Linked DNA regions of Mus musculus. The protein of the gene in region 1 binds, or shares a complex with, the protein of each later gene. Links are inferred from orthologs where the notes say so. Each region holds a gene or a part of one and is shown on either strand. Other genes may lie near its edges. The genes, in order: Cyfip1 and Abi1.

Region 1 (16,822 bases):
AATATATTCAAACCATTTCCAGACCACTGTAGATAGCCCCACTAGCTGCTGAAATATTAAGTTTACATGTACCTATAAAAGCTACCAAAACACCAGAAGTAGGAAAGTATTCAATCTAAGGGACTAAAAAAATAGGATTTTTAAAACTAAATGTGGAAGACTGTTTTATTCCTAGGGTTGAAAATAAGAGAAATGTCTACCTGATTTTTCTATTCGGTATTATACCAGAAATGGTACATGATACACAACAAAAAAATTCAGATTGGAAAATAAGTGAATTATTCATAAATTGTATGGTTTTATATATGAAATAGAATATGCCTTCCCAGTGAAAAGTCAGTCCACCACTTAGAGATTAATAAAGGAAAAAACTCTAATAGTGCATGTCAGGTCCTGGCTAATGCACAACAGGGAAGCAGAAATCCATCTGCATGAGTTTCACATAGACAGGGATTCTAAAGTTGGGTTGTTTAAACAAATAGTGATATTTAAAATGTAAGATATTACCATAGCTTTTAACCAAGTTCATCCTGTCTGCCTGGCAGAATTAAACTCTTTCTGATATGAGGACCAGAGAGCTTCTTTAAATTCTATCTTGTATAACAATATTAGTAATATTAGTAATTTTATTATTACTAAATATTGGTGATATTAGTTTATTATTTCCAGTTTTGCCTATATTATAGCAATAATTACAAATCAAAACTTTTTAAGTATCAATAAGCAAGTGTTGTGTGACAAATTTGAAGAAGAGGAACACAACACACATGGGTCTAATCGCCCCAGAAAGCAAAACTACACTATTGGTGCAGCATGATTGCACTATAAAGTCCAACCAACTCCGTTTCTGAGAGTGCACAAAAAACCACTTGAGCAAACATCCTATGGCAACACCACCCCCCTTAGCATAAGCCAGTCAGACTACAACAGCAGGGTCAAATACATATAGACAACCTAAGACATCCTGCAGAAAATAGATAACCTACCCACCCTGTTCCTCGGATGGTTTTGCGCCCATGTTTGGTTCCTGCAGATTACACCAGAAATGCAATTTTTAAAATACTAACTTGCTGACTGTATGGAAATTTCCAAAGCATACTGTAACTACAATAAACACCCTGTACCCCTAGAACTCAGGACTCTCACTTCTGACCCACTGTGACAGTGATGGTGAGAGTCCTTGTGCAAGAGCCGATAATAAAGGCTCTTACGTGTTTGCTTCGGAATTGGCTCACCAGTGGTCTTTGGGGTCCCTGCACCATGGGCATTACAACACCAGAAATGAAATCTGAAAGATAATTTGTTTAAACTCCACAGGGGCAAATTATACTCCAAATCTGTTATATAGATTTCAACTTTAATTGCAAGCCATACCTCTCTCGATTTCTGTGTTACTTTCTGTTGCTGTGATAAAATGCTATGACCAAAGCAACTTAGAGGAAAACGCATCATTTGGTATACAGAGGATTTCCTCATCCCTTGGGGCAACCAAACCCTGGGGGCTAGTATTTAGCAGCACAATATATAGCAACAGCCCACCCTCCACGCACCAATATTTTTTTCCTTTGGTGGGATGGATCTTGAATTTCTTCCTTTTCCGTGATGTTTCATGTACCCAACTGCAATTGTGGTTTGAAATACAAGACAGGCTTGTAGTTGTAGAGGGGATACTGTCCATCACTGTGGTAGCATGCTAGCAAGAGCCATGAGGCTGTCCAGACAGTCAGGGAGCAGAGGAAAAACATGAAGTGAGATCAGGTATAACCACAGAGCCCACCCCCAGGGACACATTTCTTCTAGCAAGGCTACACCTCGTAATGATTCTGTGGAGTCTACAGTGTAGACTCTTGTGCGTGTGCTTTTGAAGCAGTATCATCTAGAGGCTCCACTGTGCAAACACACAAGCCTGCATAGGCTCCCTATCTGGGATGAGTAGATGTAGGTTGCATCTTCTCAGGAAGAGTCCATCACGTAATATTTGGCTATTCTTCCCCAGATTTCTATAGGCATTCGTCTCAGACTGTAAAGATTTTGAAGAAATAAACTGCCATTGCTGGTTTTTGTATACACGGGCCCAACTTTAATTACTCAGGACTTCCTCTGCTCCTTACACCTAAGTAGCCTCTTGTCTATTAATTTGATTTGAATTATTAATACCATCCTGTAGACTCCTTACATAGCTTGTGTAAGAATTGCTGAAGCCGAGGTGAAGATGGTAAGCAGTGTGACTGCCTTTGTTTGCTTTCTCTGATCAATGCCATGATCACAGGCAACCAGGGGAGGAAAGGGTTTATTTGGCTTTCATGTCATAGCCCATCGAGAGAAGTGAAGGCAGGAATCTGGTGTCAGGAACTGAACCAGAGACTGGATAACTCCACTTACTGACTTGCTCCTCATGGCTTGTTTAGCTTGCTGTTTCACTGCACCCAGGACCACCTGTCTAGAGGGGAGCCATCATAATGGTTGGGCCTCCCCCATCAATCACTAATCAAAAGAATAACCCCATGGACTTGCCTACAGGCAATCTGATAGAGGTGCTTTCTCAATAACGTTCCCTCTTTCCAGATTACCCTCGCTTGTGTCAAGTTGACCAAAGAATAAATATAACCAGGACAAAGACCTCTAAACCAAATGTGTAGTCTGGAATTACAGACAATGGGTTGCTTCAGGGTATATTAAGAGGAGATACAGTTGATACCTGACGTTACAGATGGCTGACACATCCAGAGCTACCTTCTTTACACTGCTGGTTTGGACAAAGCAGGTTCATTTGGTTTCTATAGTACAACACTTTATGCCCAGTTCTGCAGGATTGCAGGTAATTATTTGAGACATTCTGATTACTTGTGGGTCATTACAGGGTTCATGTCCATTTACTAGATCACTGGTTATAATGGGACAGAAACTGCTACATTGACCTTGGTCTCATGGAGAATTTAACCAAAGGTGGATCAGAAATACTGCTGATTGACTGTGAGTTCCTACTCCTCCCTTAGTGGATGTGGCAATGACCCTTTGGGTCCCTCCATTTCAGTATGGGCTCTGGATGCACCTATATTGCCTGAAAATTGAAGATGTGAACATTCCATTCACTAATTTAATCAAGTTATTAATTGATATTTACACTACATATCAACACGTGGAATACCTTACGTTCAATCCATATTTTCTTGTACAATGTATATATATGTATATAGGTATATGCAAATGTATACATATACATACACACATATATAAATATATATTTGCTTATATATTTGTATATAATACATATATATTTGCTTTAATTTGTTTTATATATACAATATATATATGCTTTAATTTGTTTGGTTTTTTCCGAGACAGGGATTCTCTGTGTAACTGACATGGCTGTCCTAGAACTCATTCTGTAGGCCAGGCTGGCCTCGAACTCAAGAGATCTGCCTGCCTCTGCCTAGCAAGTGCTGGGATTAAAGGCGTGTGCCATCACTGCCTAGCTATAAATATATTTGTATTCTTCACTAAGACAGGAGAAAGGGAGGGAGATAGTGTTGCACTTGCCATAAATCATGGGAACAGCTGTGACAATCTCTAGTCAGTTTACATAATTTCAAACCCATTTCCAGTTACAAGCAAAGAGTTCTTTAAAATATACTTGTGCATTTCACCTGTGGGTGTGTGGGACTTCACCTTTAGTATGTTCTCATATCTGCTGGCATTGAAACACACTGGTGGGTTTTCTACTAATTATATTTTGAAGAATTATTTTCCCCACAAAAGAGCTTTTATTTTCTCTCAGCACAAAAAAAATTTAAATCTCGTGTGTATTCAATAATAAATAGGTCAATTTTAACCTTCATTTCCACTTGAAAAATTCCATTTCATTTAAAAGTTCTTAATTTTTTAAAAAAAGATTTGTTTATTTTTACTTATTTATTTACACTGTAACTGTCTTCAGACACTCATCAGAAGAGTGCATCGGATCCCACTACAGCCACCACCTGGTTGCTGGGAATTGAACTCAGGACCTCTGGAAGAGCAACCGCTGAGCCATCTCTCCAGCCCTCACAAATGGTTTTTATTTTTATTTTTTTTAGTATAAAAAAAGTTGCATTGATGAAATATTGTAAAAACAAATCAATCTGTTTTTCCTCCCAGCCCCTGCTCCCAGAATGATCACTGTGAGACTAACAACTTTTTAATAAATGCCTAGGCCACGAGCATTGGCTCAGTCCCTGACTAGATTGTAACTTATCTAACCCTTTAAACTATTCTATGTCTCACACACTGTTAGTTACCTCTCCTCCAGTCCCAGCCTGCTTCTTCCTTTGTGTCTCCTCAGCTTCTCTCCCTCAGAGACTTGCTTGAATCCTTCACAGTCCCTCCCTATGGGTTCCTTTTATATTCTCACTATTTCCCAGAATCTCCTCTCTTCTTGCCAGTGTCCCATCTCCTATTTGCTGCCTCAGCTCATTGGGCATAGGCATTTTTAGTGACAGGTGACACTGAGATTCTCTCTACAGCATATAATGATATAATTCAAATTGCTTGTCGGATAGTTAAATGCCAGTATTGAATCTTAATCTCTAGATTACAGTTCTGTGGAAGCAGGGGAACATTGTCAAGCATGCGTTTTGTATTTTTGCTGCGCCAAGGAATCAACATGTTACATTTGTATTATCATTATAGTTTAGGTTTTGTAATTTTTATTATACTCTTGTTATGCATATGTAGAGAAGCTACAAGGATTATACTTTTGAATAAGTTTAACATCTCACATTTTGTGGTAAACCTAAGATGGTGAAAACACTGATGTGTGTCTGTTGTAAATACAATTACACGAGTTTTATTTTTCTGATATTAAAAGTTACTTAGTAAAGATTTATTTCTGTTAAGTTGGGGAAAACAAACTGGTGTGGGAGTTAGGCATGTTGGTGAATGCCTGTGATTTCAGCACTTGAGGGATGGAGACATGATCTGGTGTTCAAGGCTAGCCTGGGTTACATTAGTTACTGTCAGACCCCAACGACAAACAAAATGTCCAAATTCTTAGCAGTAAGGAGGGGCGTCCGGAGTGAAGAAGGGTAGGAAGTTTGGAGCTATTCTACTAAGTTCAGCATTAAGATGTATGTTAACTAACTTTTCCCTTCCTTTTCTGCGGGTTTAGGGAGGGCAAATTCAAGTCAGGTTTTCTGTTGTCAGCCATTCCTAGGAGTCTGAACTTGAGTTTGCCAGTCCTCAGAAGGCAGATGAGATGGTAGCACTGTTACTTTAGGGGCCAGAATGGGTTCTTCCTTGGGTCTGGAGCATTTTACATGCCGCTCCAGCCTTGCACCCACCATTTAATACATACATGCGCCCCTTCTCTGTCATGGTTGTACCTTCTGTATCTCTTTTGAAGTTCAACCAGAGGCAGGACAGGAGGCAGTGAAAATTTGGGGGACATGCGGAGGAAGATAAGCCCATCACTCATGGATTTACTGAGGCTTCTCACCATCACTGAGGACAAGTTATAGGAAAACGAATGTTGAATTCCTATGGCCCATGTATGGGCTCACTGGCCCACACCCAATTGCTGGGGGATCCAACGCCCTTTTTGGACCTTTGCGGGCACCAGGCACTCTCGTGGTGCATAGACACACAAGCAAGCCAAACATTCATACACATAATGAATTCCTTTTTTTTAAATTTTTTTTAAAGTATCTTTAGTAAAACTTCCAGCTCTATGCTGGCTAGTCCTGGAATTCTTTCCTCATTTGGCCTTAGCTTCAACAGAGGTCCCCCAAATCAGGGAAAACTCTTGAGGCTGGTGAGCATGGCAGTGTGGCGCTGAGTCTTCATCCTCTCCCAGCCGGCTTGACGGGTGGAGCCCACCAAGCAAATCCCGGCTTCCTTTGCTGCGGTGACCTGAGCAGCAAGCGGCAGGCGGGGCTACGGTACGGGAGACTTGGGGAGACTTGGGGGCCGACCGGGCTGGCCTAGAGGAGCCGGACCCAAGGCAGCCAGCGGGAGGAGGGAGGAGCGCCGGGAGGAAGAGGCCGAGCCGAGCAGCGCCGCCCCGGAGGAAGGGGAGGAGGCCGGGTGTTTCCTGGTGCATTCCCGACCCGCCCAAGTGACTCATTGGGGTAGGAAAGCTCCCGGGGCCCGCCCTGGACAACCGAAGGCGGCGCAGACCAGGTAAGGGCGGTCGCCTGGCCTCGGGGTCCTTGCTCCACTGTAGTCCGGTGGGGCGAGCCTGCAGACGGCCTCGGCGCAGCCTCCGGGACCGCACGGCCTCCCGGGATTGCCTCCTGGGCTCTCGAGTCTCCCGGTCTCTGCACGGCAGCTCCGGAGCCCGGGACTCCCGGCCCAGCTCGGCGGCTCCAGGGCTCCCTCCCCGGAATCACATTCCAGAATCCCCCGGCCACGGGCTTCCCAGTGCAGATTCCCTGTTCCCTCCGCGCTGCACAACTTGCACTCCGGTGGCCCGGCTCCCGCGTCCCGGACCCCCGCGTCCCCGAACCCCCGCCCCGACTCACCCTGGATACTAGGATCCCAGATCTCGCGCTTCCGGCACGAGGTTTAGCTCCAAAGAGGAAGAGACAACGTTAATATTTAGTATTTTACTATTGAAAAGTAAGGAGCGACGAATAGTTTATGTTGCACTAAAGTGGCAAAACAACCCCGAGTCCACCATGGTTCTGCCTTCAGAGGAAAGGAAGGAGAGTGTGGTCTAGGGAAGCCGTCCTCAGATTCTTGGAGAGAGGCATTTTGGGCTTTGTTAAGGAAACGGGATTGTTCAGGAGCAGTAGTGCGCCGCCGCACATTCGTAACGAATTTTGTACTTTAAGCCTAAAGCATCTGCGTAATTTGTAACATTTCGTGAGTGTGAGAAAAGAAGGAAGAGATATGCAACTGGGGATCGGTGAGGGCGAGGCAGAGGGAAGCATCGGGCAATCCGTGTGTTGCATGGGGGAGCCCAGAGATTTCTCTTGGTTGTCGGCTAACAGATCGCTTAGTTGAGTCGTGTTTGAAGCACCGCTGGTACTGGGGTACTCCTACAGGTACTGATACTGAGATCAGCGCTTGCCAAGGTGGGGGTATTGATCCTAGACCCTGGCCAAGTTCACTGGCTGGAAGTTGAAGCACGCGAGACCGGTGGTATACCTGAATACCAGCCTTCCCCTAGTTCTGAGTATGTTAGTGGTTCTTATTAAAAAGCCTACAAGCACATAGCCTGAAAGAATTAATTCAGTTTTTAAATACATGTAAGTTACTGCAGACATGCATTGTAAGAATTCAGTAGGAATGTTGCGGGGAATACTTCTCTTTCCCTCTTCCCCTAACAGCATCTTCCCTGTAACCTTGATAAAATGCTGCAGTTGAAAAGTCTCTCTAAGAAAATACATCCTCTAAGTATTTGTGTATTTGAGGAAGTATGTATTAAGGTTTTTTTAAAGAATAAACACTGTATGTGTGTGTTTGTGGTATGTGTGTTTTTAGATGTGGGTGCACAGGTGTGTGAATGTGTTTGTATGTGCATGTAGAGGCCCGAGGCTGATTTGGCGTTTTCCACCTTATTCTTTGATACAAGGTCTCTCAGCTGAACTTAGAGTTCACTGATTGGACTAGTCTTGCTCGCCAGTTTGTTTCGGAGGTCCCCTGTCTCCGCCTTGGAAGCAATGGGACTTGAGGGAGGTTGCCATGCCCATTGTCGTTTATGTGGGTTCTGAGATCTGAAATCCTGTACGGCTATCCACTGAGCCATCTCCCTGGCACTTAAGCGTGTTTTTAACTTTACATATAGTAATATTCATGCTTTGGAGTGTTGACTGCCACTGTAATTAAGATGCCAAACTGGTTCCTATCACCTCAAGATTTTCTTTCCTGTGTCCCTTGTAGTGAGGTCTTTCATACCATCAACTCTTGGCAACTGCTGATCTTTTCATAGTGCTATTTTGCTTTCTCCAGAAAGTCCTGTGGCAATCTTGGAGTCTGCATTTAAGATGGTTCTATGTTCTCAGTAATAAGTATGGGGGTGTTGGGGAGGGGGTGGCTATATTTAAGGCCGTCCAAGGTGTTTTACCAGCCAAACACCATTAAAGTGAAAAATTAATGATTTTATATATATATATATATATATATATATATATATATAATATTATTTGGTTACAAAAACACTAGTCAAATATGTCTGTAAGAAGTAAAGTCAGTGCTTTGAAAAGTAGAGCCTTGGGAAGGTGGGGTGGCATGCAGGGAGTATAGGTGCATACAGTGGGTATAGGTGGCACACAGTGAGCATAGGTGGCACACAGCAGGTATAGGTGACACACAGTAGGTATAGGTGACAGACAGGTCTGACAACTTGAGTTACAACCCACAGTGGAAGGAAAGGACTAACTCCTGAAAATTGTCCTCTGACGTCCACAAGGACACAGTGATTTGTGCCGAAATACTTACTCTCTCTCCCTATGAACACACTCCATACACAAATAATAAATAAGTGTTTTTTTTTAAAAAATGTAGTTCTGGATACAACCTGGAAGACTAAAACGTTCTTTCTTCTCTCTTTCCCTTTATCTTACCATTTCAAAAAAAAGCAAATTTAAATATGTATTTGACAAGTGTGTGGTTGTTGTGGCCTGCATGAGTTTGTGTGCATCACATTCATCAGAAGTCTGTAGAGACTAGAAGACGCCATTGGATCTCTTGGACCAGGAGATATAGGCTATTGTGAGCTTCCATGTGGGTGCTGGGAACTCAGCATAGGTTCTCCTGAAAAGCTCCTAATTGAAGAGCCATCTTTACCCCTCCTGAGTTTTGAGACAGGGTTTCATTCCATGGCCCAGACAGCCTTGAATTCATGGTGCCTCTACATTAGCCTTTTTGTGTGTAGGGAGGGGAAGGGGCTTGAGGTTGGGTCTCCCGAAGTCCTGGTGGGCTTGAACCCCTGATTCTCCTGCCTCCACCTTCTGAGTGCTAAGACTGGAGGTGTGGATACCACCACCTTTCCTGTCTATCTCAGCTCCTTGAGTGCTGACATTACAGAAATAAGATACAACCTAGCCTGAAATAGTACTTTTAAAGGTGAGAAAATTTACAAACACCACCTCAACAATTTTTTAAATAGTTCAGAAGTATATACAACTGTATGTGTACTGAAGCATTCTGCCCCGACTTTAGCCTCTTTTGTTTGAATCGGAGTTTCTGTAACACCGATTGCATTCCAAGTGTTATATATTTTCACTTATTGATGCTCAGCTGGAATTCCTTAAATGTTTCTATTTACAGAGAGTTCAATAATTCTTGTTTTGTTTTTTTTGTTGTTGTTGTTTTGTTTTTTGGTTTTTCGAGACAGGGTTTCTCTGTGTAGCCCTGGCTGGCCTTGAACTCAGAAATCTGCCTGCCTCTGCCTCCCGAATGCTGGGATCAAAGGCGTGCGCCACCACACCCGGCTGAGTTCAATAATTCTTTCTATTGATTGTATAATACAGTCATGTGTTGCTCAAACTATAGTGATATATGCTAAAGTATATCTGCACAATTCTATCCCTGCATCAGAGTTTAATTAGACAAATGAAAATAGGTACAGATGTTAATTACATCATACAGTTCTAGGAGTGCTGTGATAACTGACCAAAACATTGATAGGCAGTGTACAACTGTCGTCTTTAGTGTGGGTGTGTTATAATGTATTTGATCGGTCTTCTGGGTATTTTTCTGACACGAGTGTCCGTGCACCACATGTGCACCTGGTGCCAGAAGATGACATTAAATGCCCTGGACTGGAGTTGTAGATGATAATGAGCTGCCATGAGGGTGTTTGGAATTGAACCAGGGTCCTCTGCAGCAAGTGTTCTTAACCACCGAGCCATCTCTTCAGCGCCTGATATTGTGCTTTAACATTTATCAACACTCCAGTTGATCTTGTGTCAGTATCCTTGAGTACATGCTCAAGGACATCACTCTGAAGGTGACTCACCGTTGTATTGGTGTGAAGAGACGCTTGGGCAAAGGCAACTCTTATAAAGGAAAACATTGAATTGAGGGCTTGCTTACAAGTGTCAGAGATTTTAGTTCATTCTCATGGCAGGAGTATTGTGGTAGGCATGGCACTGGAGCAGTAGCTGAGAGCTACATCCTGATCCAGAGAGATGGAGAGGGGGAGGGAGAGAGAGGAGAGAGGCCTGGCATAGGCTTTTGAAATCTCAAAAGCCCCTGTGACACATTTCCTCCAGCAATGTGGCACTTCCTAATCCTTCAAATACAGCACTTCTCAGCCTGTACATTGAGGTTCCTTTGGGGACTGAACGAGCCTTTCACAAAGGTTGCCTAAGACCATTGGAAATATTTCCATTGTGATTCTTTTTTTTTTTTGGTTTTTTGAGACAGGGTTTCTCTGTATAGCCCTGGCTATCCTGGAACTCACTCTGTAGACCAGGCTGGCCTCGAACTCAGAAATCCGCCTGCCTCTGCCTCCAAGTGCTGGGACTAAAGGCTTGCGACACCACGCCCAGTTCTCCATTGTGATTCTTAACAGTAGCAAAAATTACAGCTGGGGGTCAGCCCAGCATGAGGAACTTTATTAAAGGGTGGCAGCATTAGGAAGGTTGAGAACCACTGTTCTAATCCTTCTCAAGTACTGCCACTGTCAGACGAGGGAGCTCAAATAGATGAGCCTCTGGGGACCATTCCAGTTCAAACCACCAGGGAAGGGAAATTGTGCTCACGTTCTTAAGACATCCCATGTTTCGTGCATCTTTGTAAGCCAGTGCTCCCTTTCTGGCAAAGGTGCAGATTGTGAATAGTCTCCGTTCTGTGGGCCTTGTTTATGTGCTGTAGCATTAGAGCCTCGTGGAAAATGAGTGGGTGTGGCTGTCTGCCAGGGAAATTCTTTATGTAAAAAGACAACGTCCTGTAGTTTGCTGACTTCTCAGTTCACGTATTATTTGCCCAGTCCTTGAAATAGATGCAGCTGTTATTTACCACACTTGGTGGGTGGGTGAAGCATGGACAGATGAAATAGTCCAAGATTAGATGGAAAGCCAGGTGTTGAGTTCAATCATTAGGTCCTTAAATTTGCCAGTTTAAAAAAATTAGAAGAAAAGGTACAAAATACTGTCCTCTAAATGTTGGACCCTCAGTCATCTGTTGAATCAGTATTACAGCAGGGTACCTTCCTGGCTTTAGCTAACCTCTCAGTCCCCATCACCCTCAGTGTCTGTCTCAAACAAGGTTTTTGATCTGTTTCACTTAGTAGCAACTGCTAGGGATAAATTAGGGTTCCATTCTTCTAGAATATATACAGGTTATAAAAAAAGAGTTATTAGATTGGTTTACGATTTAGGAGCCAGATAGTTCAGTAATAATTGTTTGCATGCTATTTTCTTTTATAATGTTTTACATCGTGCAACTTTGTTGAGAATTCTTTTAATAACTGCTTTACACAAGCAAGGATTTTTCTCCTTGTCACCTGTAGCTGCATGTGTTGACTGGGTTGTAAGGTACCTGTATGCTTGAAACTGTTATGTCACAGTGCTGGATTGTGATTGACTTTCATAGTGCCTTCTCATTCCTACCCTGCCAAGGCCCTGGCTAGTCTGGTATCATTATGCAGTCCAGGATGGTCTCAGACACACAGTCATCTTCTTGCCTTCTGAATGATGGGGTGCCCAGCAAGTGCCACAATGTCTGGCTATGTTTCTTTTAGTAATAATTTTTTTTATTTTCAAGTTCCTTTTTCTGTATCAGGCTAGTCATTGCCATTATTTTTGGGTTTTGCTTTTCATTTTGTATCTTTGCATTCTTCTGACAGGGTCTTACTATGTAATCTTGGCTGGCCTGGCACTTACTATGTAGACCAGTCTGGCTTTGAACTCATGGAGATCCACTTGCTTCTTTTCTTCTGCCTCCTGAGTCCGAGATTAAAGGCTTTTTGCACCATGCTTGTTTGGTGTATCTTTTTCCATTCTTTTGTTTCACTTCCTTAGTGTCTTTAAAATGTGTTTCTCATGGCTCCTTTGAATTTTTTAAAACCATTTTGAATATCTCTGCCTTTCAATTTGAATACCTTGTCTATTTACATGTAATGAAAATTAGGTATTATTATGATTTTTTTAAGCTATTTTACTATTTGTTCTGTTTATCTGGAGAACTGATGGCTACCAGTAGCCTTTGTAACACAGGTTACAAAGTATCTAATGGAAGGCTTCCAGAATACTTTAAACACAACATTTGTATCTGTAATATTTTTAAAAGATTTTCATTAACAGCTTCTGAGCAGATGGTCCCAAAGAAACCATGTTGTCCTTCAGCTTCTGGGAAGGTGGCAGGGAGCAGGGGGTGGGTGAGCCCTGCAGAAACTAATAGTTCTTCCTCGTTGCTCCCCAGCCAATGTTAATATGCTTGCTTCTTCAAGCCTGGCAGTGACGGCAGAAATGGTGGACATTGAACTTCGGCTCCCAAAGGTTTTAGTTATGAATGAAACAGATGGACAATGATAGCTATAATGACCCTGAATCCACAATGCCTGTGGTTTGTATTCACACCACATCCATTCTCCTGGCCAAACTTGTCAAGTTCTTTACTTTGTATTCCCCAAGCTCATGCAGGGATTTTGTTCCACAGAGAAGAAAAACTGATAGTCAGAAAGCAGTGGTTTCCACTCCTGAATGTGGTTGCTTGTAACCTTGTCCTGGCTAACACAGCTGGCAAGAATATCGGATTTCTTCTTCAAGCCACTCAATGAAAGAAGACTTTTGTTTGAAGAATTGTCAGTGGGAACACAAGTTAAGGCACAGGTCCACACTGAATCCCCTTAATATTTGGGGACTCTTGACTCAGGTAAAACCAGTTCTTTGCCAAAATATCGAGACTGGCCAGCATGAAGCAGATGTTGTAATTTATTAAAAGATTTATTATTATTATTATTATTATTATTATTATTATTATTATTAAGTACACTGTAGCTGTCTTCAGACCCACCTAAAGAGGATACCAGATCTCATTATGGATGGTTGTGAGCCACCATGTGGTTGCTGGGATTTGAACTCAGGACCTTTGGAAGAGCAGTCAAACCACTTAACCACTGAGCCATCTCTTCAGCCCAAAAGAAAATTTTTACATGGATGTTTAGTGCAAGAGTTAAGAGAGACATGCTTAGTTGCCTTTACAATAGCCACACGACATACAGAGAGTTAGGATATCTGTACTGTAAACAAAATTAATAGTCTTTTTTTTTTTTTTTTTTTTTTTTTTTGGTGTGATTCCCAGGCAATATCCAGGACAGGAGTGAGGCTTTACTGTGCTGGTTGGTTTGTCAACTTGACTAACCTGGAGGGAGCCACCTGAGAAATGGAGTTACAGTGAGAGAGTGTCTGGATCAAGCAGCAGGCAGGTCTATAGAGGATGACATCAACTGCCAATTGATGCTGGAAGACCTAGCCTATTATGAGTGGCACCATTCCCTATGCAGGAAAGACGTAGACAGAGAAATCTGACGGAGAGCAAGTGAGCAAGGGTCCATGCGTTTATTCTGTCTCTGTGCTTGACTGTCCATGTGAAGCTTTCCGTTCTTCACTTGATCCCCCTGAAGCAATGGACTGTAAGCTGGAATTGTAAGCCAGATAAGCATTTTCTTCCCTGAGTTGTTTTTTGCCATTGTGTTTGTCCTAGCAAGATGAATGGATTTAGAACCTCTGTTGAAGGTCATACACATTAAGCCCGGTTAGCTGCTATTCTAACATAAAGGAAGCCTTGTCTCTATTTCCATAACCTTCACAGCAAATGTGCATTGGGCTGGAATTCTTGAATTTCAGCTGGTGACTCTGGAGTGAGGGTCTCTGTTCTTATGCACCCGTATGTAATTCAACCTGCCTTTCTGTCCTGCCTCAGAATCACATACCCGGAGCCTTGGCGCTGCAGCAGCACTAAGCTGCACCCCAGCCTAGAGCTCTTCTATTCTAAAGCATGTTCTTTTGTTTACCACCCACAAACCATGCAGCAGCCTCTACAGAAGCAGGGAGCCGAAAGCCACTTCTCCTCTTGGCTCCCCGGGGTCAGCTGCCTTCAGAGATCTTTGACTGTGCTTGAATCTCAGAGGCTGTCGGAATTCAGCTTTGTTTCCGTCCCACGCACCAGACTCAGAAGGATTTTGTACAGACCCATTTGCCTGTTATTGTTTGCTCTGATTGCAGGAGTCGGGGCCGGGGGTGGTAATCAGCGTTATAACTAGAGTTCTCCAGAAAAACAGAATAAATGGGGTATACACGTGGGCCGGGGGAGGCAGACAGAAACACTGAGATCCACTTTAGGGAGTTGCTTCACACAGCTGTGGAGACTGGCAGGGCCAGATTCTGCAAAGCAGTCTAAGCTGGAACTGCACAGAATACTTAAATGCTGCGTGCAACCTGAAACCAAAGACCACACAGAAGCAAAATGCCCTCTTTCTTGAGGGCTGTCAGCATTCTTTTTTTCTTAAGACCTTTAGCTCATTGGATGAGATCCATCTAAGTTGGGGTAGTCTGCTTTGCTTAAAGTTGACTGACTTTAATATTTATCTCATTTAAAGATTATCATCATAGCTATGTCTAGACTAGAATTTGACTTTGACCATAAACTTCCTAGATAGTTGTCACAGGGGTGAGTCTTGGTATTTTAATAACATGTTTTAGAGAACTGCCGTCTCCAACAGAGATCAGGTCAGTGTTCCTTTTGTGGGGATACACTTAAGTTGCTTGTCTTCTGGAATCTAGCTGAGAAGAAACTGTACCTCTTATACATACAAGCTATGAGAAGCTGTGAACCCCCACTTCCCTGCCCCACTTTTTTTGCTGTACACATCTTCCCTAGTCATCCCCTCTTCCTCTTCTGTAGCTCATGTGTCCTGTCGTTGCTCTCAGCAACCCGGTCACTTCTTTTCTACTGTCTCCTGGGCCCATTTCTAGTTCTCTCGGTTCTCCTCACACTTATTCTTCCCCCCACACAAACACTCCCCCCATTCTAGCACCCCCAAGACACGGTTTCTCTATGCAGCCTTGGCATTCCTGGAACTTGCTTTGTAAACTAGGCTGGCCTCAAACTCAATGATGTACCTGCCTCTTCCTCCCAAGTGCTGGCGTTAAAGATGTGCTTGTGCCACCATAGCCTGGGCACACGTATAGCCTTTAGAAGCTAGGATATCCGTACGTGAGAGATCATGTGGTATTTGTGTTTCTGAGCCTGGGTTACCTAACTTAATCTAAGGATTTTCAGTTGTTCATAGTAACCGTGGTTGTCTGCCCAAAGCCTGCCCAAGGGTAAGCCAGCCAATCAGCCTATACTCGTACCTGAGGAGTTGTGGATGGTTAGTGGATTCTGGGGGAAAGTCATTTGCTGTAAGGTATGTTGATCACGTTCCAGTGGATGACCCCACCCCCAAGAGCATGTGGGGAGCTGAGGCTCAAGACTGTGTGTTATTTAAAAAACAAACAAACAAAACAAGAAAGCTAGAGGCAGGGCAAGGAGGTGAGGGTGAAACCTAGTGGGTGGGTTGGAAGTGAATGTAATAAAAACCCCTTATATGAAATTCTCAAGGAACAAGAAAGGAATTTGCAGCTCCACTTTGCTGCAGATTTTGCAATTTTATTTTTTAATGGCTGAATAAGATTCCAATGTGTATATGTGGCCTGTTTTTGTTATCTTTTACTCTGAGAATGGGTGATATCTGGGCTAATTCTTTTCCCTGGGTGTTTTGAAAAGAGGTGCAGTAAGGATGGATGTGCAAGTGTCTCTTGTAGTAAACAGAATAGGGTAGTGCCTCTAACGGTTGGGTATTGCCATCAGCTGTAAACACGGGTTGTTTCACTACATCCTCAATGGCACTTGTCCTTTTTCAGGTTTCATGAGTTTTTAATTATGGGATGTACACCTGACTATAGGTGCCTAGAGAGGCCAGAAGAAGGTATTGGATCCCCTGGAGCTGCAACTGGTGGTGGTTGTCAGTTGCCCGACATGGGTGTTTGAGAATCGAACTTGGCTCTTTTGAAGGAGCAGTGTGTGTGTTTATCCACTGAGTCATCTCTGGAACTCCTCATCTTTTTTAACTTGATGGTAATCTTTCTGACTGGGGTGAGATGGAATTTCAAAGTAGCTTTAATAAGCATTTTTTTTGATGGCTGAAGATACTTAATTGTTTTAAAAGTATTTATCAATCATTTATACTTCCTTGGAGAACTGTCATTGTTTTATTTGTCCATTTAACAGGTAGAAGTTTTGTGTGTGTTTTAATTTTTACAGTTGTGCTCGTTAGTTTCTGTTACCTTGACTATCAGGCTTGAACATATCGGCGGAGAGGGAGTCTCTGTTGAGGAATTGTCTCTGTGGTATTGGCCTGTGGGCTTGTCTATGGGACGTTTTCTTGAGCATTGACTAATGAGGAGGGCCCTGTCCACTGAGGGGCCATCCATGGGCATTCAAAAAACCAGGCTGAGTAAGTCACAGGGAACAAATCAGTAAGTGGAATTCCCCCACAGTCTCTGCATTAGTTCCTGTCTCCAAATTCCTGACTTTGCTAGTGATTGACTGGTACCTGGAACTTAGATAAACCCTTTCCTCCTAGGTTTATTTAGTCATGGTGTCTATCACAGCATTAGAAAGCATACTAGGACAACACATATATTCTAGAATATATAAATACACACACACACACACACACATCTCATCATCAATTTATTGAACTTAGATCCAAATTTTACTTTTAAATTAATTCTCTGGAATTACTCATTGCCTTAACACTGTCTGACATGAGAGGGTTTTTTGGCTTCTGAGAGTGACATCAATAGTTTGCTGAGTTGTAGACTATTAGAAACCACTTCCTCCCCAGACC
Region 2 (16,146 bases), on another chromosome or scaffold:
TTATTACTGCTCAGCTTCTAGAAAGAACCACCATTAGAAACATAGTTACAGAATGTAACCATCTTTAACATAATGGCAGAGTGGACAGAAGCAATGGTGTCCTCATACAAAAGGACACCAGAAGTTAACCATGCTGGCAAAGGTAATCTGCAGAAGAACTCAAGATGGTGAGATTACGATTAGACTAGGAAATGCTGCAAATGGGCTATGTGATTTCCAATAGGAAAGGCACCAGTAAAAACTGGCATTTTAGCCGGGCATGGTGGCGCACACCTTTGATCCCAGCACTCGGGGGGGGGGGGGGGGGGGGCAGAGGCAGGCAGATTTCTGAGTTTGAGGCCAGCCTGGTCTACAACAGAGTTAACGTTCCAGGACAGCCAGGGCTACACAGAGAAACCCTGTCTCAAAACAAAACAAACAAACAAAGAAAAACCTGGCATTTTCATTGTAAGCCTTTTAGATTTTCATTTTAAAACAGGATTTTATATAGACAGAACTTCTTCAGTGAAAACAAACAAACAGAAAATAGCTGGGTGCATGACAGAGTTGATTTCTTTGTGTGCTAATAGAACTAGAATGTTTCCATGTGAGAAAAGTTGTAGATGAAAGCAACAGCCACTTGGTGGGAAGGGAACTTCAAGACATAGTCTGATTATTATCTGTCCAGCTCATCTGATCTCAAACTGTGTCCTTCTCTTGTGGCAGCAATTCAGGAGCTGATCAGGGCAGTGATCTGTCTGTTTTGTTGTTTCCTATAGAGTGATGGCGTGCAGCAAACAACCTACCTCGCCCAGCAGTACTGCCACAAAGCTGTGAGAGAGATCAGGAAGCTTAGACCATCTACAGAAAGGGACGCCCTCATTCAGCTTTCAGAAAGTGTGCTCACCAGAGATAAATGACAATTCCTCCTCTTCTTTCTGGCAGCTATTTTACCAGACTGTGCCTAATGATTTTGTGAAACACTATTTGCTTCATGTGCAGAAAACCAAAAATCATTTTAAGAAATAATTTCAACCTTATTGATGGGCAATTTTTATTGGCAAAGTTTTTCGGAAAACTTTTTAAATGTAATTAAACCAGTGTCATTATAGTCCTATAAATTCTAATCGAGGTATCCTGATGGTTATATGTGGTATTGTTTACACTGTTAATGCCCACATGTAAAGCCATTACACAAATAAATAATCAACGTTAAAATTCAAGTGGTTTGTCTTTGTTTCACCATAGGATTAAAGGTCAGAGAATTTTGAAGTCTGTACTATTTAAATCCACATTAGTTATACTTTAACAATATCCAAATTTTTCATATAGGAGCATAGTTTATTATAAAAGACTAGATAAAATTTAGACAACAGGTTATTTACAAATGAAGAAAACATTTTGCTTCAAAAAGGAAATGCATAATAAAAAGCTATCTGATTGCTAATGACATAGTACTTCAAAAATAACAAAGGTTAAAATATATATGGAATCATTGATTTGGTAGGAACAATGGTCTTTAATTTTCAGAAATATTTTGCACTGCTCTCATCACTATGCTGTCATAAATCTGCAACCCTCAGTACATAGAAACCCACACTTGTGTGATCTACTTTAATATCCTAAGCAGTACAGTCTTATATACAAGAGAAGTATCCCTCACACCCTCCCTTGAATCAAGGAGACACACAAAGTGCATGTGTTGCATCAAAGTTACAATACAAACCTGCTTATTACCTGTTTACAGATTAATACATGGCCTAGTTTCTTTCAAAATTATTGTAAAATTTTATGTTTCTAGTGCCAGGGAATGGATTAAATATGCCTATCCACAAATGAACTGCATCCATCTTTACAATATGTAAAGGATTTTCCTTTCACTGAGTCAATGTAAATTCAGTTTCATTAAAATCCAAAGGACCGGTGTGGCACTCCTCCTTCAGATGTTGCCCCCAGAATATCATGTGCTTACTCTGACACAGTCTAGCTCCAAAATCTGCAAAATTCTGTCACATTGACTGTTTGGACACATTAAGATTAAGCTAAAAATATTTTCAAAACTGATGCATTGAGAAAATAGAACCATAATTCTGCAATAAATCTTTCTTAAAGGGGTGGGAGGGTGTGCATGCATATGCACTAGCATACATAATTAAAGCAAACCAGTAAAGGAGAGGCCAAAATCCTTTGGTTCACTTATGTATTTATGAATGGAAAAATTTATAATGCAAATTTCACTCATTAAAAAACTTAGATACAAATTACAACATTACAGATAGTCTTTCATTTCACATGGAGAGCTTAGGAGACTCAAGTATGAGTACTCCAGATAATCGTTACACAAATTGGAAGCATCTTGAATTGTTAAGTATATTTCAATACATAAAAATTTATGCATGCTTTAAACACAGTATTTTTTTAAAAATGAGAATTGAAACCAAAAGTATGACCAGCACCAGCATTGACGTTTTCTGTTTTTTCCTATTAGTCTGACACAATGTTAGTGACCATGCTGCACTGAAACATGTAATGGTGCATTCTGAACCATGATTTGTTAAACATAATACCCAATCCCCAGAAGTTTTAGGCTGGTCATAAACTTAGCAAGGTGTGAGTACATATGCATAATCAATTATAGGCATATAAACTGCTGCTCAGCAATGTTTGAACTGCCTCCAAAATTTATGCTTACAGGTAGACATCCAAATATACCAATAAAACATGTCCTTGAAAATATGGGCACATTTTAAACATTAAAACAATTCTGTTAACCATATAATCCCACAGTATGACGGAGTAATAACCTACATGAAAAGAAAAAAGAAAAACTAATCAGTATAGTGCATGATTGATTCAACATAGTTCCCAGGGAAGAGTCCAGTCACTCGATTGCAAACTCCTTCAAACCAGCCATCATCATTCTTCTTTATAACATAGATGATTGCACCCTCTTTAAAGGACAGCTCATCATCCTTGTCTTTTGTATAATCATATATTGCAACAACTGTGGAGGAAACAAAGTATAACATGAGAATACTATCTTGAACATTTACTTTTAAAATGTAATGCCAATTAATTAGTTTAGAAAAACTAAGTATTTTTAGTGGGAATTTATTTATTTATTCACTTCTTTATTTTTGGTCTATTTATTTATTCACTTATTTATTTTTGGTCTTTCTAGGCAGAGTTTCTCTGTGTAAAAAGCCTTGGCTGTCCTGGAGACCAGGCTGGCCTCAAACTCACAGAGATCCACCTGCCTCTGCCTCCCAAGTGCTAGGATTAAAGGTACAGCTGCTGCCTCCGCCCAGATGGACTTAATTTTTCTATCGGTATAAGTAAATGGTCAATCAAGTCCCTAAATCACTTACCCGACATATTGACCACATTGACAATATGGCCACACGAAAGAAGACACTGGGTTCCTACTAAATTCTCTTTAAGAAACACCTGAGGGTGAGTGAGATAACTCAGCTTGAAAACAAGTGCCAAGCATGAAGGTCTGAATTTGAGCCCTAGAGTCCTACACGGTAGAAGAGGCAGCTAACAGCTGTCTCTAATCTTCACACACACAGTGGCATATGTCCTTCCACATTAAACAAATGGAGTAATAATAATTTTTAAATCTCTGAATTTAGGTGGTTTTAGATTTATTTTTGGTTTTCTGATCTCACTATTTAGCTCAGAGTGGTCTCAGACCAGAGCACTACTGGCTTACACTCCCACAGAACCAGGCATTATGTCAGTATTTCTATTCATTCAGACAAATATATGTGGAGTATCTAAGCAAACTGCCAGGTTACTAATGTATTATGAACAAAGCCATTCAGTAAACTAAATAACAACTCAAGCTGTCTTAATTTGACCATATCACACATTTACTGGGTAATAAATCTATATATTCAAAATCCCATGTTAATTGATAAACTCAGATTTTAAAATAGAAAAAAAAAATTCTGCTCATTTTAAAAGTTTTGTTTTAAAAGTTGGCAAAAGTAAAGGAAGCCCCAGAAAGTGTGACGAAGTTGGAGATCTTCTTCCTTTCTGGTTAACATACTCTATCTTTCCATTTTGTAAGCAGGGAAAACAACTTAGATGCTGTCCTGGCTGGTGTTGTGTCAACTAGACACAGCTGGAGTTATCACAGAGAAAGGAGCTTCAGTTGAGGAAATGCCTCCACAAGATCCAGTTGTGGGGCATTTTCTCAATTAGTCATCAAGGGGAGAGGGACCATTGTGGGTGGTGCCATCCCTGGGCCCTATAAGAAAGCAAGCTGAGCAGGGCAGGGGAGTGGTGGTTCACGCCTTTAATCCCAGGACTTGGGAGGCAGAGGCAGGTGGATTTCTGAGTTCGAGGCCAGCCTGGTCTACTGAGTGAGTTCCAGGACAGCCAGGGCTACACAGAGAAACCCCTGTCTGGAAAAAACAAAAAACAAAAAACCAAAAAAACAAACCAAAACAAAAAAAAAAAACAACAAAAAGAAAGCAAGCCAGGGGAAGCAAGCCAATAAAGAACATCCCTCCATGGGCTCTGCATCCCTACCTGCTTCCAGACCTGCTTCCAGTCCTGACTTCCTTTGGTGATCAACAGCAATGTGGAAGTGTAAGCTGAATAAACCCGTTCCTCCCCAACTTGCTTCTTTGTTATGATGTTTGTGACTAAGACAGATGCATACTACTTTAACTATTGATTTGTAAATGTAAATATTCCCGCTAAACCCATTTTTTTATATTTCTAAAGTTACATGTAATTTTCTACTATATGTGACTAATATATGAATGATTTTATTTTTCATTTATTCTTAACAGTATTTTTCTTAAAATACAAATCTTTAAAACATTTATGATGGTCCAGAATTATTTTCTTCCCTAAGAAAGATGGCTTGCCTCATTAGTAACTCTAACTTGGTGAACTAGAGATTTGAAGTACTGATTGATTACCACCATTTATTAAGTTAACCAGGTAGTCTTTTCTCATTCCAATACACTGTAGTATATGAATTCAACAAGCCCATTTCCTTCCATTTTAGCTCTGCAACAAAAATCACAGTATGGTGATTATGATCTCCATAGTTTATCGAAGCTTTAAAATATACTGAAAAAATATAATTAAATACTATCAAAGTCAGCTTCCAAACGCTGACACCATTGCATACACTAGCAAGATTTTGCTGAAAGGACCCAGATATAGCTGTCTCTTGTGAGACTATGCTGGGGCCTAGCAAACACAGAAGTGGATGCTCACAGTCAGCTATTGGATGGATCACAGGGCTCCCAATGGAGGAGCTAGAGAAAGTACCCAAGGAGCTAAAGGGATCTGCAACCCTATAGGTGGAACAACGTTATGAACTAAGCAGTACCCCGAAGCTCTTGACTCTAGCTGAATATGTATCAAAAGATGGCCTAGTAGGCCATCACTGGAAAGAGAGGCCCATTGGACTTGCAAACTTTATATGCCCCAGTACAGGGGAACCCCAGGTCCAAAAAGTGGGAGTGGGTGGGTAGGGGAGTGGGGGGGTGGGTATGGGGGACTTTTGGGATAGCATTGGAAACGTAAATGAGGAAAATACCTAATAAAAAATTTTAAAAAAAGATAACTAGCAAAAAGGATCAAGTGATTGCAAAAGATCAATTATTAAGAAAAGCTCCATAGGTAATTTAACTTCGGTAATACTCTGGTATCTAGAGTCACAGGGTGATGAGATTCAGTCTTGTAGACTAACAAAAGCCTAAAGCATTCATATCTTTGAGCAGAATAAAAAACTACTTCAAGTTCTTAGTTCCTCTAATGCAAACAGCTCAGAAAAGTACTAAAACACATTGTGTTTGCTTTCTAGGTTTCCTTTGTAAGTGTAAGGGTCTCATGTCAATGTACACACTCCCTCATGTAATTTCTCTCACCACTATTTACCATTAATAACTTGATGTTGATTCTATTATTCAAACTCTCCCTTTTATATCTACTGTGAAGGCTTTCTGGGATTTGTCTATTAGTTTAATACAGAGACCAGTATCACATCGGCATATATTAGGTTAAAGATACAGTATCAATAAGAACAAGGCTTTTGAAATAGTCATGTCATAAACTTATTAGCCAAGTTAAACAGGTTTCATTATCTTGTCATCATGAAAGTGGTTATTAAAACTTCTAAATGTAAGCATACTGGTTTACTTGACACAATCTAGAAACATATCTGGGAGGAAGGAATATGAATTGAAAAAAATGTCTCAGTAAGATTGGCCTGTAAATCTGTAATGCATTTCTTGATTGATGTGAGAGGCCTCAGCCCATTCTGGATGGTGCCACTCCCAGGTCTTGGATGCAACTCAAAAGAAAAACAAACAACAAACCAGGCTGATCAAGCTAAGAGAAGCAACATTCCTCTACAGCTTGTAGGTTTCTGCCCTGACTTCTATTACAAGCTGTATGAAGTAAGACCTTTCTTCCCCAGGTTGATTTCAGTCATGTTGTTTTACCATAACAACAGCACCCTTAAGTATGACAATAATCCTACTAGATCTTGTCTGCCCATGGCAGAAGGCTGAGAAAAATCACTCCACACACCAGGCTAATGTAAAATTTGCAATAATCCTCCTGCCTCTGCCTCCTGGGTGCTGTGATTTCAGGTATATGATAAATCCTGCTAAATTAACTTGATTTACACACACACACACACACACACACACACACACACACACACACACACACAGACACACACCCCAATGGCATATCTAACCCATCACCATTCCTTCTTTATATTTATGTATTTTAAATTTTATTTTCTGTGATGAGTATTTTGTCTGTATATCTATATCTGAACCACAGGCATGCCTGGTGCCAGAAGTCAAACACAAGAGTTCATCAGTTCTCCTAGAACTATAGTAATAGATGGGTGTGTGTTGTGTAGGTGCTGGAAACTGAACCTGTAAGAAATGCCCTTAACTCTAAACCATTTCTCCATCTCTCCACTACCAATTTGTGTAAATAAAGTTTTACTGAACACACTACATCTACATCTACATCTACACACACACACACACACACATATAAACTTTGAGCTACAAACCTGTTGAGTCAATATAGCAAGCAAAATCTAAATCTAAACTATACCCAGTCTTGAGAAAAAAAAAAGGAGACAAGAGGGAGAGGGAAAGGAGAGGGGAGGGGCAAGGTAAGATGTGGGGACAGAGGGAACGTTTAAAATCATCACTAAGATCATAAATAACTGTTAAGTCATTTAGCTCAATTTTGTGCCTTAAATGTTTGATCTATAAAACACAGGCAAGCAAGTTAATCTGAAGCTAGAAGCATACATGGTTTGAAAAGATGCATCTAACAATTTAAATTCAAAGTATAAAGAAATAGTCTCCTTTTCATACTCCTGAAAAACACAAAGTATACATAGTAAGAGCTACCACCTTGACTGGTAAGACAGTTACAGGTAAGAAACACTGGCTGAGACATTTTTTAAAACAGTAATAAAACTCTAATTAGGTTACTGTACTTTACATCAACCCATGAAAATAGTACCTCACCTTTCTCAATATAGTTCTTGGGAGCCCATGCAGGGTCCCCATCTGCATATGGGTCACTATACTGAACTACTGCAGCTTCCTCATCTTCATAGTCCACAGGAGGAGGTGGCGGAGGAGGCGGAGAGTCATCAAACATGGGAATGTCATCTGGTGGAGGGGGTGGTGGTGGAGTTGGGCTATCAGCAACTAAAAGGATTCAGAAAGTAATGAGTCTAAAGGAACAATTTTAAATTAACAGAATTTAACAATTCTAACTCATATAGCATGCACTATATAAAACATGCAGTGATTAGAAGTAAAAGCTGGGTGTGTTAAAGTTTATACTACTTTTAATTTTAAGCACAATTTTTGCAACAATAAAATGAGATAAAATAAGCATATAAATACTACATTAATGAATGTAAGAGGATACAGTATCTTCTTTCATTAGAATTACAGGAGTAAAGAAGTTTCTTTATCCTAAGTCTCAAGTGAAAACAAATGCTCCCCTTGCTCGGCCTTGTTGCCCGAGGGGACTCTGTCATGGAATACCCCTAAGTTTCTTATAGTAGAGGTCTGACAGTTTTTACGATGTATATAGTCAGGCCTGCAATTTTGGCTTTTGGTAGCTTTAGTGCCCTAGAAACTACATCACAAGTGGACCTATCTTTTATTTGTTGTTTTAATAAAGAGTAAAGCCAAGTTGGTCATATCATGTTTAAATGTTTTGTGTAGGGTTTTGTTTGTTTGTTTTCTGTTTTTACTTACGTTTTAACAAACATAAAAAATAATTCCAAATGAGAAGACTGCATGGAGTATCTTTAAACAAATTAGTTATATTCACAGTCAAAATTTAATGAAGAAAGGAAACTAAGATTTTGCATTATGGCTAATAAAACAATGCATGAAATGATACCAGATCCAAAAGATCCAATTTCTAACTTAAAACACAATTAAGATTTAAACATAAAATACTGAAGATGCAGTAATTTTAAAAGAAATAAAAATAAACAAACAAAAATGAAACACACTTCAGATTCTAGATGGCTGGGGTATGTGTACACATGCATTAAAGAACTGAAGGTGTTAACAGGAAAATGGGTGTGTGGGACTAGAACTGTACTTATTTGGCCACCAATGCGGCTGGGATTAAAACATTCAAAGCTAACACAACTAATGCTCAAACTTCTACTCCACAAATTCCTTTAAAAGTTTAGGGGAGAGGAGAAAAATCAGGGAAGGTAGTGCATGCCTTTATTTCCAGCACTTGGGAGGCAGAAGCTCAGGGAATCTCTGAGTTCAAGGCAAGTCTGGTCTACACAGCTAATTCTAGGCCATCCACAGCTACACAAAGAGAACCTTGTCTTTTAGGTGAGAGGAAGAAAAAAGGAAAGGTTCTTGTATTAACTGTTGTAGGTTTTATAGGTTATTGTTCCTGACTGAGGACAGTAAGTTGAGATCTAAGCAAGAGGCTAGTTTAAAGCAAGCAGAAAACAGTCCTGCTTCATTTCTGCTTCAATTCTGTGCTTTCTAGTTTAATCCTTGAGATGATAAAGACAATAAAAAATAAATTCTACTTGGTGATGCTCACTCACAACAATCTAACAGGTCTACAGTTAGATTGTCTACTACATGCACTGATCCACGAAACATCTGCCTATACCTACACCTCCTCCATAAAGCTTGTTTATGTGGAAGAGTGGCTATGAACAGGCCGAGCACACACCCTAAATTGGCTTAATGTGTATAGTACATGTTTGTTTGATTCCCTGAAGAGCTGTCACTCTTCATTTCTACAACATACTGGTTGAAGATTCCATTCAACTGCCATTAAGTATACATTGGTTTATCTTCAATTTTATGGCAAAAATCTGATCAACCCAATTTTCTGCCCTAGTACTTTACCTAACACTATGCATATTTAGTCCAAAAGCCTATCTGATGTTAAATAATAAAAGGCATGAGTCATTAGGGGCTCATATCTTAAACCAGACTGGGTTACAGCTACATGCATTTATTGTCACTTCCTCTGAGTATCAGAACACTGGCATTTAAAAAGCACATAAAATATGTACACTTGATAAAATATTTAAAGTGCTGATACACAATTTCTTAATTTCAACTTGCTTAGAAAAACTTGAAAATAAACTTGGAATAGCAGTGGTGTAAGAATAATGAATTTGAGCCGGGCGTGGTGGCGCACGCCTTTAATCCCAGCACTCGGGAGGCAGAGGCAGGCAGATTTCTGAGTTCGAGGCCAGCCTGGTCTACAGAGTGAGTTCCAGGACAGTCAGGGCTATACAGAGAAACCCTGTCTCCAAAAAGCCAAAAAGCCAAAAAAAAAAAAAAAAAAAAGAGCTCAATATCATGTGTTTCATGTGTTTGGTAAAAAGAACAGAAATAGTTGTGTCAAGGTGTCTCTTTGGGAATAATGAATAAGAACACTGGGTTTTGTTTCCAGTTATCAGTTAGCCAATGATCTCTAGGCCCACAAAGTTGATTTTTCAATGGCTATTAAACTTATTTCCTAGAACTCTTCATGATGAAGCAGTGTAAAAATATTGACTGGTATAATCTTCCACCTCTGACAGGTTTAGTTTCTAAACCGTATCAGCATCACGAAACGACAATATCTCTGGGCATGATAAACCCACCTGCCATCCCAGCTATCAGGAGGCTGAGGCAGAAGGGCTGAAAGGCCAGCTTAGTGAAACAGGAGATCTGCTCCAAAACCCAGGAACTGAGAATGTCATTCATTTAACTCAGACTTAGAGCAGCTCAACTAACATGTACAAGGCCTTGGGTATTGCTTAGAACATCAAAACTTAAGAAACTGAAGTTAATAGTAAGAGGGTTTGCACTCAGAAATTTCAAAACTCTAAATCCACATTTGCAATAAGCTCTCATGAAGAGACTGTCTTAAACTTTTTGTTTGTATTCTTACCAGAACCTATCATATAACACTGCATAACAATATTTGATTGGTGGAAGGGAGGGACTGAGAGAAGCATTATAAGAGTCAGTAAACGTTGACAAAGAATTTGCAAAAAATTTACTGTACTGAGGATGGGCTGCTTAAGTAGTAGCTCATTTCTAAAACAATTCTGAAATGTATTTCTAAGAAGATTCCAAATGAAGTAAAATGGAACTAAATACTATCTTAATTTCAATGACTGACATTTAATTATTCAGCAATTGTACTTTTCGTTTGCCATACAGTATTCACTCAGGACACATAGAATCTTCCGTAATGTCAAAGGTAATTAGGATTACAGGCATGCACCACCATACCCAGCTGCAAAGTGTTTTCTAATTGTCCTAGTAACTATTATTTCAACATAATTTGCCTTCTTGGGCTTACTCTTTGCTTAAAAATATACAATAGATCTCATAGCTTAGATCATCTAAATACTTAAGCAAACTGCAGCTTTGAAATTGATATGGGTCAGTAATCATGCAGACAAGAGAAAAGAACAGAAGCCCGTGCTCTTCCGTTTCAGTAACACATAACTGTACCTACTCTTCAAGGTAAGATTAGCTTCTCAGTAAGAAGGAAAATGGTGACTCAGCAGCCATGCATGCTAGAGGAGACAGCCTCTAATCTCTGACGGCTGTGTTCCCAGACTTACTGTTTTCCTGCACCCTGGCCACGAAGCCTGTGAGAGGGATCTGTGGAGTCAACTGAGGCATGGGGGGAGGAGGAGGGGCAACAGAAACTGGCAGCAAGACACAGTATGGGGAGTAAAACAGATAAAGAAAAGGAAACAAACAAAAAGCAGAAGTCAGTTACAAGGACCACAAACATAAATAAGTATGCCAAGAACAGTCTGCAAATGAAAACAAACAAAACAAAAACAAACAAACAAACCCTGCTACCCTCTTCAAGTTTTTGTCCCCACAGAACCTAAGGCCACACTGTGCTCAGCCATAGGATAAGTGCATAAAATAATAAATATACTTACTTTTAACCTAGCATTACATTATTTGGGGAACTTTTTAATTTACTGTAACATTTATTTTAGCACAATGCTTTTCAAAGAAAAACTTCTAAAATATGTTACACTTAAACATCTACAGAGCCTGCCAACAAACTGTTTTGCTTTAAGTCTATAAACTAACAGACCTGTCTAGCTGTTAAACATTATTTGGTTTTTAAAACCAAATAATGTTTAACAGCTGTTGATTACATGTATAAATATGTAGATAAATCAATGCATTAATCATGAGTTACCTTTGAAGAAAGTGCTTATATATCTAAATTTACATACTTCTCTGGATAATATTTTCTTACAAAAGTAAGATTTGTTACTTTTTAAATTGCCAGCTTTATTTGTAAGAAATCAGCCCTGAACTTACTAAGGGACAAGAGTGTTCCATGTACCTAATAGTTAATCATTCAGTCTCTGAGGGGAAGTTATCAAATATGGTCTTTTTATGGATACTGAAAAAGGAAACTTAATCTCTCTAATCAGTCAAAATGTATAATTATTTGTACTATATTCATTTCTGATTAATATAATGCAGCCAGATACTGGCTGGCTTGAAGCATGTGTAACCTTTTTCAGGAGATACTTTATAAGAAATTGGTATCAAATGTTCCTATGACTAACAAATATATGAAAGATTGCCACAAACTAGAAGCAAAGATATGTTTACTTTGTCTCTTTAACAAGACAGTAATTGCTGAAGATCCAACAAGTCAATGGGTTCAAGTGGAAAGATCGGTTTCCCAGTGGTCACCACTAAGTGATGTTACATTATCCAAGAAAAACAACTTTATTGGTCCCTAATATTTATCATTTTAATCCAAGGTACAAATGTGTTGGTAAGCATAAAAATGTGATAGACGTTCCAAGTTAAAAGTTAGAGAAATATATATGTGCTGATAGTTCATACAGATCTAAAAACAGCATTCCATTTACTAGCAGAAACTGGTTTTCATTCTGTTACAGAGAACACTTGTTAAATGGTTAGAGTATTGATTTTAAAACAAAAAAGCCTCCCATTAGTCAAAATAGTTTCAAGAAAGAGCCCTTAGTGACTAGCCATGCTCGTTAGCTGTGGGAGAAGAGACAGGAGGTTACTATGAAGATGCTCATCACCAGCACATATAAGGAGAGGAAGCGGCACATCACAGCACTAAACACAGCCACGTACCAGTAACCTGCACCAGCAGCTCAGACTGAAGGGGAAATGGATAAAACAAAACATGCTTTACACCCCAGGCTAAGTTTCCTTTCCAGTTTCAAAAAGAATACTGATATTTACTAAGGAAGTATCCCACAAACATGTGTGAAACTAGACAAGTGTAGATTGGTGAAATTAAAAACCCTATTTGCAGAATAAATTTAAAGACAAAGTGGGGGAGGGAAGATAATGATCATAAAGATGGGATGGAAAAAGCAGAATATGAAAAGAAAGTTCAGACACTAGTGGAATAAACAACTAATTTGTCTTGATTGTATATGCCATTAATTCTAGGATTCAGGAGGCAGAAGTAGGTAGATCTCTACATTCAAAGCCAGCCTGAACGCCATACTGCGTTCCAGAACGACCTATCTCCACAAAACAGAACAACCACCACCACCTAAACGACTGAGTTACAGAGCATTCAGACACTGAGGCTATCACTCAATATCAACAAAGGGGGATGTGAAGTAAAATAGCAGGCAAGAGTTTATTATTTCATAGTAGCCTGAATTCTGGAAATTCAGGTCTGGAAAAAAAGCTGTATAAAATCTGAGGTTCTCTGTAAATATAGACATTTAAGACAAAATGGTTTTCAATTTGCTATAACTCAGTTACCCTCTAACTCAAAATTTTAAACAAAAGACCATTAGCCTCTACTTAAGTTAGGCATAGTGGTGCTTGCCTATCATCCCAAAAAGAAGGAGGGCTGCAAGTTCAAGGCCAGTATGACTTAAGCAGTGCCAGGCCAGTTACTTAGAGCACTAACTTTCAAAGCTATTTCAAGGCTACAAAGTATGGCCTTGTCTTTTAAAAAAAACAAACAAACAAGCAAAAACCAAAAATATGCACGTAATATGAATACAAATAAAAGAGCCAAGCAAATCCCATGTAATGCAGAGTAGTCACCATTATTTTTATAGAACATTCAGTTCTAGAAATACTTAAAATGAAGCTGCCATAGAAAAACCTGTCAGCCACACCCAGTAACTTCACGACAAAAACAAATACTGGACAACAGGCTTATTTCAAACTATTTTTGTTCTGAATTTAGTATCTTAACATGGAAAGTGAACTCAATGATTATCCTCAGATATTCAAGCCTTTCCTTTCTAACTCTATTTTCTGTAAAAGGTTTTAAACACTGGCTGTAATTAGTACTGAGATGTGTATTTTGAAGTAAACAAAGGGAAATCAAAAGAAAATCCCTCCCACCTGTTAGAATTATTCAGAAAGAGAAAGTAAGCAGGCATTGTAAATGTTTTCATTTGAAAGCATTTCAAAAGAGGTCACAACCTTAGAAGTGATAGCCAGCAATTTCTTTTCATTAAATTCTTTAAAAAGTTCTTTGGCTGTGTTTGTGTCTTCGTACCATTACTGAACCATCAAAATCATGCTGATAAAATTTAAGATTGTTTTGTTCTCTAGTTCAAATTATACTGTAGTAATACTAATAATAGCACATTAAAATATTTGTTGAATTTGGTAGATTAAGTATACTTGAGTGAACCCTGGAGAATAAATAAGCAGTAATATTTAAGATGGTTATTCAAGGATTAACATTCAAAGCAAAAACAAGCATGAAATAGCATGGCTTAAATTGTTGTCTATCACAGTCAAGAATAACAGTTTCAAATAATTTCCTTTAAAAAGGAGCTCCACTATTGCTGTATGCCTGCAAACACAAGCTTACTTGAATTTTGAGAATAAAGTGGACCTCCATTAACATGAGGCTGAGCAGAGAATTGGGCGGCCACAGAAGGAGTTCGTCTATATCCACCAGAAGATGTCGAAGAAGTGGTAGAGTTGTGTCGAGAAATCTGCCTGGTCATTGTGCCATACTGGGAACCAGGAGCTGCGCCAGGGGCTGCTGAAAAGCATTAGTCAAAGGCAACCAAGAAAGCATTACAAACACCCCAAGTGACAGGACAGAGGGGAGGGGGTTCTTATTTTTTTTGGAATGCCCAGACATAAAATAAAAAAAGAAGATGAAAATCAAATTATCTCCACTTCTAAAGTATATAAACAAGAAGACAGCTAGTGCAAAGAGCTACAAAAGTGACCATTTGAGCATTGCTAATCCTTTGCAATAAGCATAGTCCTGAATGCTATTTTGCTAATGCTATATGTAATTTACATGTGCATTTCAGAATGTTCACTAGACAATGCGCGAGAACAACTACTCTGGTATGGTAAGTAACCCAGGGATAATCTGAAATATATGAAAAGGAATATATGTGTAAGTTGTCTGCAAGTACTACACCATTTGATTAAGGAACTTGAGTTATCTAAGGATTTTGTATCTATTGGAGGTGGGGTGTACAAGAATCAATCACCTGAGGGGATGAAGGACAAGTGTATAAAGCTTTTGTATGTACACTGGCTCCAACAAAATGAGTACCACACACAGTCTGAGTAAGGCACTAGCTGTTAGCTGTGGGTCATTCATGACTGCTTTATAAACAGCTTCCTCTTCACAGCCAAGTTTCGGAATTTGATTTAAAATTCTATCTGGCTAAAAAGCTCAGGATAAGTAATAAAGTAAACAATAAAATTTAAACTGCTAAGTATATTTTTCTGATTTTTATAACTGTTAGTAATTACTGTTATTAATTATTTAGGTTGTATTTAGGTACTATTCTAACACTAAGAACTATCACTCCTTCTGAATGAACACTGCTAAGTATAGTCCCTGAATTTCCCTACGCTTCAGCACTGATGAAAATCTCCCCTTGAGAGCTTGTTGTAATGGAAATTTATGGGTTCCATTTTCGGAGATTTTTAACAAAGTAGATCTAGGATGAGTTCTGAAACTGAAATTTCTACCTAATTCCTCTACGTTAATAACCAATTTGGGACTATTGCTCTGAAAGTTAGTGCTCTAAGTAAGCAGTTAGCAAACATTTTTTTCTTTAAGTCGACTCTTAAAAACTAAAAATTAGGTGTCCCTGGAGTGGGTTACACCTACATGAAATGACCATATTCAAACTGACACAGCTTTAAGGTGAATTTATATACAAGTACACAAAGACTTCACGGAGCCTCTAGAAAAAAAAATTCTGACAGAATGAGGATGAAAAAGACATGTAATAGCTTTGACCTCACAAACTTAACAGAGAGTTTTCTGAGAAATAATGTTCTGATGTTAGTACCTAAGACTGACACTGAAAGATGCTGTTTACCTTGATTAGTAAGCAAAAGGGGTTTTGGTAAAGGGAGCAAGCATATCAACAAACACCAGCAGTATAGCACCAGTTCCACACACCCCAACAAGGTGAGCTGTCTGTCTGCATTTTTACTTATCCACTGTGGCTTCAACAATCATCTTCCAGGCTCACAGACTTTCTTTCAGTGATTTCTATATCCATGGGATTTTGTATTATCTCCTTCCCTCTCCTTTTCCTCAGTATACATAAATGTTTTGAAAAATAATCTAGGGCTGGTGAGATGGCTCAGCAGGTAAGAGCAC

The links.
Region 2: Cyfip1 (region 1) and Abi1 share a complex: the UniProt entries of both Homo sapiens proteins name them as parts of the WAVE2 complex. The link is inferred for Mus musculus from reciprocal best matches to the Homo sapiens genes CYFIP1 and ABI1.

The regions. Positions count from the first base shown.
Region 1 is NC_000073.6:55,836,152-55,852,973, forward strand, and holds the start of Cyfip1 (cytoplasmic FMR1-interacting protein 1), read left to right. Parts: upstream 1-5,919; 5' UTR 5,920-6,156; intron 6,157-16,822. UniProt on the Homo sapiens protein: Component of the CYFIP1-EIF4E-FMR1 complex which binds to the mRNA cap and mediates translational repression. In the CYFIP1-EIF4E-FMR1 complex this subunit is an adapter between EIF4E and FMR1.
Region 2 is NC_000068.7:22,939,065-22,955,210, forward strand, and holds the end of Abi1 (abl interactor 1), read right to left. Parts: intron 14,548-16,146; coding exon 14,371-14,547; intron 11,207-14,370; coding exon 11,120-11,206; intron 7,698-11,119; coding exon 7,512-7,697; intron 2,984-7,511; coding exon 2,808-2,983; 3' UTR 1,009-2,807; downstream 1-1,008. Other genes in the region: Pdss1 (decaprenyl-diphosphate synthase subunit 1), read left to right, coding at 759-899. UniProt on the Homo sapiens protein: May act in negative regulation of cell growth and transformation by interacting with nonreceptor tyrosine kinases ABL1 and/or ABL2. May play a role in regulation of EGF-induced Erk pathway activation. Involved in cytoskeletal reorganization and EGFR signaling.